2 linked regions of the Caenorhabditis elegans genome follow. The protein of the gene in region 2 interacts with the protein of the main gene of each other region in a pairwise test. Each region holds a gene or a part of one and is shown on either strand. Other genes may lie near its edges. The genes, in order: snr-5 and snr-4.

Evidence for each region.
Region 1: the proteins of snr-4 (region 2) and snr-5 interact in binary tests that used the Caenorhabditis elegans proteins (3 or more experiments, as listed by UniProt).

Annotation. Positions count from the first base shown.
Region 1 is NC_003281.10:7,860,271-7,863,400, forward strand, and holds snr-5 (putative small nuclear ribonucleoprotein F), read left to right. Parts: upstream 1-1,799; 5' UTR 1,800-1,801; coding exon 1,802-1,898; intron 1,899-1,948; coding exon 1,949-2,051; intron 2,052-2,158; coding exon 2,159-2,216; 3' UTR 2,217-2,304; downstream 2,305-3,130. Other genes in the region: cuc-1 (Copper transport protein ATOX1), read right to left, coding at 335-462, 509-581, 661-669; putative transporter slc-17.3, read right to left, coding at 2,372-2,617, 2,670-2,823, 2,872-2,962, 3,007-3,130.
Region 2 is NC_003283.11:11,977,871-11,981,713, forward strand, and holds snr-4 (putative small nuclear ribonucleoprotein Sm D2), read right to left. Parts: upstream 1,854-3,843; 5' UTR 1,827-1,853; coding exon 1,819-1,826; intron 1,769-1,818; coding exon 1,595-1,768; intron 1,464-1,594; exon of another isoform or gene 1,443-1,463; intron 992-1,442; coding exon 817-991; 3' UTR 638-816; downstream 1-637. Other genes in the region: MIF-like protein mif-2, read right to left, coding at 317-385, 481-534; rpt-1 (26S proteasome regulatory subunit 7), read right to left, coding at 2,866-3,219, 3,433-3,843. UniProt on the Caenorhabditis elegans protein: Plays a role in pre-mRNA splicing as a core component of the spliceosomal U1, U2, U4 and U5 small nuclear ribonucleoproteins (snRNPs), the building blocks of the spliceosome.

The sequences.
Region 1 (3,130 bases), on a different chromosome or scaffold from region 2:
ATCAAGAGACGCGGAATAGTGAAATGAAAATGCGACGTTTACCTTTCTGAGAAGGACGGTTACACCGGATGTACGCGTCGACGCTTTAATCTAATAAGGATAAGGTTCAATGCATGAAAAGGTGTTTACATTTGAAACCTTCTATTTCGGTTAAAAGAACTCGAATGAAATATTGCATCAGAAAATCTATAGTTTAGAAAATGCGTTTATTTTTAGAATAGGACAATTTTACAAGCAAGAGTCATAAATTAATACAAAAATTACAGAAATGTCAAAAAATAACGATATTCACAACCATTCGGATAGAAATTAAAGAGACAATCAAAAGGGTCATTTATTGTAGTTGCTTGATCTCTTTTCCTGTTTTCTTCAGAGCTTCAAGTACATCAGATGCTGGTAAATCAGTTGTAACTGTGATTTTCTTGGTTTCCACGTTAATATCGTCAATTTTGATTTTGTCTTCTGTAGAATAATAGGATTAATTTGATTAACAAAAAGTAAACCAAACCTCCAAGCTTTCCTAGAACTTTTCGCGCAGCATTTGCACAGCCATTGCATGTCATGCCCATTTCGAAAACGTACTGAAAATGTTCAAATTATTTTTTTTTTCACAAATATGAGAATATTTAATTGTAATTTGTAAAAAGTTAAATAATTTACCTGTGTCATGATATTTGTTGAGTCAGAAATCTGGAAACTCTGCTTCTGCTTGCCTGAAAAACGTTAATTTGAATGATTGGAATTAGTACAGTCGAAAAGAAATGAACAAAGAGACGCAAAATGGAGAGACAGTGATAGGGCGACTCGTGGTCAATGCTTTATCTCTGAGAATTTGCATCATTCGACATTTTTTGATCAAGTTTTCAAGAAACTGCGATAATTAAAAAAGGAACTATTGAGATGGGACAACTCGAATGGTTTAAGCAACTTTTAAATGTTTTCCAGTTTTTTTTTTTACTTTTTGGAAAAATTTATGGAAAAATGAGAAAGAAGCTTAGAAACAGGATAAAGACACCAAATGACGTCACAGCTTTGCATTAATGCATCTTCTCTATTTTCTCGGCGTCTCACTCATCTTCTACTTTGAAACGAGCGTTTTTATGGGGTGAGAAAATTATCGATTTTAAGGGTGATCAGTTAAAGAGAAAAATAAAGACGATAACATTTTGATGGAGCCTGTTAAATGTTGTGAATTGGAAGAAATAGAGCCTTATATAAAGAACTGTTTTATCATCTACAGTAGTCCGAAAGCCATTTAGCAGGATATTCGAGGCTGAAGAGAAGTTAACTATATTTAGATAGCATAACTTATTAAAACTCAAAAAGTACAAGGACATTGAAAAAGCGGAAAATACAAATACTCAGTTTAAATTAACTAAAAAACCAAAACCCACATCTTTTTCATGCATGATGCATGGGTATGATTAATTTTATGTCGTCAAGTATGGTGTCGCATACGCAGTCTGCAGTATGTCGTATTATCTGATGCTAGCGCAACTTTCGAAAATTCAAGGTTCTTTTTTCATTTTTATGGAGGATTTCGCAGCGTTTTAACCTTTTTAAATGTGTTTTGTTGAGTTTATGTTTATTAAAACAACTTTGTCACTATTAGAAAATAGATACATCTTTCCATCTCACTGAAAAAACCGTCAGATGGGTTTTAAACTTCTTAAATTGTTCAAACATAACAATTGTGATTCGGAAACGCTTTGAATGTATTTTTATTGCTTAAATTACTTGTGTCCTTCACTATTTTCGATATCCCTCGTTTCAAAATATATTATTTAAAAATATTTCAGAAATGTCCGCAGTTCAACCAGTGAACCCAAAACCGTTCCTCAACAGTCTCACCGGAAAGTTTGTCGTTTGCAAACTGAAGTGGGGAATGGAGTACAAAGGTTTGTATTGACATAATGAAATATTTCACCAAAAGCGCCAAATGTTTAAGGTGTCCTTGTTGCTGTCGACTCCTACATGAATCTGCAGCTGGCTCACGCCGAGGAGTACATTGACGGAAACAGTCAAGGAAATCTCGGAGAGATTCTTATCCGGTTGGTGCATTTTTTAAAAGAAAAAATTCAAGCCGTAGAAACTAAAGTTATTACAATCTTATGCACATTTATATCGTAGTAAATCTTGAAAAATGTTCTAACTTTAGATGCAACAACGTTCTCTACGTGGGAGGCGTGGACGGAGAAAACGAGACGAGTGCCTAAATTCTTCAAACCCTTCTCAACAATTGATCTTATGTTCACAAGTTTTCTGTCTTTTTCGCACATTCTTAATCAATAAATTATAATTATCTTATTAAAGAAGTTTTTAAAATATTTATTAAATGAAAAAAAAAATCATCAGCAAATTATGTAAATTATCAAAGACACAGCGAATCCTCTTTCACCAACGTGGCGCTCATTTCATTTTTGACATCTACTTCTTCAACAACTACAATACCATTCTCAATTGTCTTCAGCTTCTCTTTCTCATTCATCTCCTGATCATCCTCAACTTTAGCCCAATCTTGTAATTCTCCTGATCCGAATAACAAGAATATTGAACCAGAGAAAATATGTGCCAGTGAGCATCCTATGAAGATATTCTGCCACTCCGCAGCGGTTCCCTAAGAATATGGATAGCAAGTAGATTTGTCAAAAATCTCTAAAATAGCTTACGTCTTTTCTGAACATGCTCATGACTGCAGGAGTTGTCAATCTACCAATCATTGCAACAAACATTGAAATTGCAGACATGGTTGCAGTATATTGTGGTGCCAAACTGAGTAGTGATGTGTAAAATCCACTCACAAATGTTCCCATTGAGCTATACCTGAAGACTTTAAATTTGGAAAAGTCGCTGAAAAGTATCGAAACTCACATTAAACAGAAGAAAATAAGGCCAGTTGTTGGATTAGAGCAATCGACAAAGAATGCAAGTAAAATAAGTGAGAAGGAACTCCCAAAACTTGCTGAAATAAATACTATTTCTGGAAACTTGCAAAAATCAACTGACCAACACCATGTGATACCTTTACAGCTTTAGTATTACTGAGAATCTTATTTTCTTTTAATTTATCTATTCCAATACCCCAAACAACTTTGAATATCATATTGAAGATGTTGGGAATTGCAGTAAA
Region 2 (3,843 bases):
AAGAGTACTGTAATTTTAAACTTCCCTTGCTGAGGAATTTTCATCAATTGTTCATAGTTTTTCGTTAAAAATATTTTCATTGAAAAACTTATTGTGAGAAAAACTATATAAAATCTTTAAGAATTCTGCAGAAACTCGAGTATAAAATTACAGTAATCTTTAAAGGCGCACACTTTCTCGCAACGAAAAAACTCGTCGTGTCGAGACCGGGAACCATATTTGTTTCTCTTAAAATACTTGTTTTTTTCTACAAATTTTCTCTAGACTGTTCAGTGTTTGTTGAGTCGTTTAGAAAATGTTTGATTAAAACACAAACCTCAAAATCAACAGGAACCTTCTCATTTGGTAGATTCGTCGCAACTCTGACCATCGGCATTTTTCGTTTCTGAAATTGATTTTTTGGAATATGGCAATAAATCACATTTCATGAAAAACGTGGAATATAGCGTTTTTATTCAAAAAATAACGACCAATAGTAACCTGAACTTTGAAGACGAAAGACGATGATATTCTGATAGCACTGACAGTCAACATCGACGAAAAATCGAAAAACCGGTTTCAAGTTCAAGCAACAATCACGCAGAACTACAAAAATCATCTGCCGCGAGGATACGGATTCAACTTCAGAAAAAAACACGACTGTGGTATTAAATAGGAACGTTTATCAATAAATAAAAAGTGGAAAATGATGATCATTGAAACGAAACAACAGGGTGAACGGGAGGGGGAAGAACAAGAGTGAAAATTTCGAAAATTGTAAGGTGTCATAACAAATACGAGAAAACCGTACTGATTGGGAGATTTTCTGAAGGTGAATTATTCAGCTTGTGCCAGTGGGTTTTTGACGACGAGAATGACGGAGTCTCCGCGGAGGAACATTTTTGAGATGAAACGATCTTTGGCGACAGACTTTGCCTTCTTCTTTCCCTTTCCAGTCTTTGGCACTTCAGTCCACATTTCCTTCACATTTTCGAGGACCATGTTGCAATGTCTGAAAAAGTAAAGAATTAGACTATACGTTCCAATTATTTTTATACGAACAATAGTAGAAAACTCCTCTTGGAATTTTGCATGCTTTGCGGGACACGAAAGTTACGGCAAATGAGAAAGTACTTATATTAGTGTAAGATTTGTGTTTTCCCTTTGGAAATCGTAGCAATACGTGTTTGAATAATTTGATGCCACGACAATTTGTTACAGCACAGGAGGATCGTGCCGTTTTATTAAATCTACCAGCCGTGGACCGCACCTCTGGCGCTGCCCCGACTTCTGGGGCTGAAAACTAATTTTTCTGAAACTACCATAATCATACAGTACTCCTACCGTACCACTATTGTACCACTACAGTACCCCGACTATATCCCTACACTAAGCCAAACCTTCACAGACTACAAACTATGGACAAACGGAATAAATGCATTATATATAGTAAATGATATTTTGCTACAGCATCGAGACGACAACCAAAATACGTTCACTATCGATGATTCAAATATTATTTTTGAAACACTTTTCTTTAAAAAATGTTGTCTGAAGTTTACTACCGACAAATACTTGTGAGTTTTTACTTAATAGTATTTCTAAGAAACCTAACCTGTCAAAAGCCTTAACTCTTCCGAGAAGCTTCTTGTTGTTTCTGCAATTGATGAGAACTTGATGATTGTTTTTGACTGAGTTGGTGAGGATGGAGAGTGGTCCGACATTGAATTCCTCGTCCTCCTTTGCAGCGAGTTCTTCAGCAGTCATCTCTGAACGGGGTTTGGCTTGGCTGTAAAAATAAATTTAAACTACTGGTCAATGAAAACAATGTGAACTCACGCCGACATGATCAAAGTTGATTTTGATAGAAGTCCCTGAAATTAAATTGGTTAGCTGAGAATCAATGATAATTTCATGTAAAAAATACCGATAAGAGTGAAGAATAAGGTATTGGGCGAGGTTTTCTAAATAATCATAAAGAGGAATTCGGAGGAACGAAACTTTACAGATCTTAAGAAAGTAGAAGAAAAATCAATTTTGAGATTTTTATTAGTTTTTATGCAGTTTTAATCGAAGGGAAGAGATTCGTTTCAAGAAAACAGAGAGACTCCGATAAACCGCGAGCGATTGCAATTCGAAAAAGACGACCGCAACGCACACGCGCCGCATTCCGAAGAATACAGAATGCAGAAAGCACCATTGTGCGCGAAAGCCGCGATTTGTCGGTTGCTGTGTTTTATAGGATCAGCTGAGTGAGCTGCTGAATTTAGCTTTGCGCTGGGGCGATAACGTGACCAATGAGGCTTTGCCGAGGTGCGTTTATTGCTGGTTGAAAACTTTTCCCAATTGCCCGCGATGTCCCCTGAAACATGGGTGGCATACGCAATTTTTGAACGCCTCTAGGAGGCAGAATATAAATACTGAACAGTTGAACATTTAGTTGGAAAACAGTATCCTTGGAGCATTCAGGGCGCTAGTCAACATTGTAGAGATGAAAAATATATTCCTAGGTAAAGTGTGCACAATATTAGTACCATTAAAATACGCTTGCCAATTTCTTCTATTCTTACTTTTTCTGGCATTACACCGTAATCGCGTTTAGATTACTACTCTTCTTATGAAAAGGTTTTATGGCACGTTTTCAGATTCATTTAAACTGGTGTATACAAGTTTTAATAGTCAGAAACCCAATCACATTTATCCATAAAATCGAAACGAATACATCTGACAGTGTTGGGCCAACTTGGGTGCATCTCACGACGATAGGATGTAATAAATAAGACAAAAATCGGAGACATGGGGAATCTGTACAAAAAAAAATGGGTGGACGGGCGAAAATAAGTTAATCGAGGACCGGAAAGAGAATGAAAACCGAATAGGGTACAATTAATTATGTGTCAGATATCTTGGAGTGGCGCTGAATTTGGCATATCCCTTGACAACCTTATTGATAGCTTCAAGGAAATCTTTTTCAGTTGCCACCTTTCTTCTAGCACGAATTGCAAACATTCCAGCTTCGGTGCAGACTGAGCGAATTTCGGCTCCTGTACTGTTTGGGCACAGACGAGCAAGTAAATCATAACGAATATCTCTTTCAACGCTCATTTGTTTTGCATGAATCTTGAGAATGTGAGCACGACCTGCAAGGTCTGGAAGAGCGAATTCGACTTTACGATCCAATCGACCAGGTCTCATGAGAGCGGGATCGAGAGTGTCCGGTCTGTTTGTTGCCATAAGCACCTGAAAATATCAAATTATTTTAATGAAACACTCATATTTACAATACATGTAAGCATTAATTTTTTGGAAACTTATCAAACGAAAAATGTGTGTCTTTTTTTTTGGATGAAAGGACTGAACTAATGATATAAACTGCCTTCAAGAAAGCAAGAGATAAATAAATTTATATTACAGATTTTTTTGGGTTATTTCCATAAAGAATTAAAGACAAACCTTGATGTTTCCACGTGGATCGAATCCGTCAAGTTGGTTAATCAACTCGAGCATAGTACGTTGAACTTCATTGTCACCTCCTTGTCCATCATCAAAACGAGCACCTCCAACAGCATCAATTTCATCAAAGAAGATAAGACATGCCTTCTTGGTACGAGCCATTTCGAACAACTCACGAACCATTCGAGCTCCTTCTCCGACATATTTCTGAACCAACTCTGATCCAATAACACGAATGAAGCAAGCATCTGTTCGATTGGCAACGGCACGAGCGCAAAGCGTCTTTCCTGTTCCTGGTGGACCGTAGAGCAAAACTCCTTTTGGTGGCTCGATTCCGAGATTAACGTAACGCTCGGGATGAAGAAGTGGAGTCTCGACAACTTCTCGAAGCTTTTCAATTTGATCCTTGCA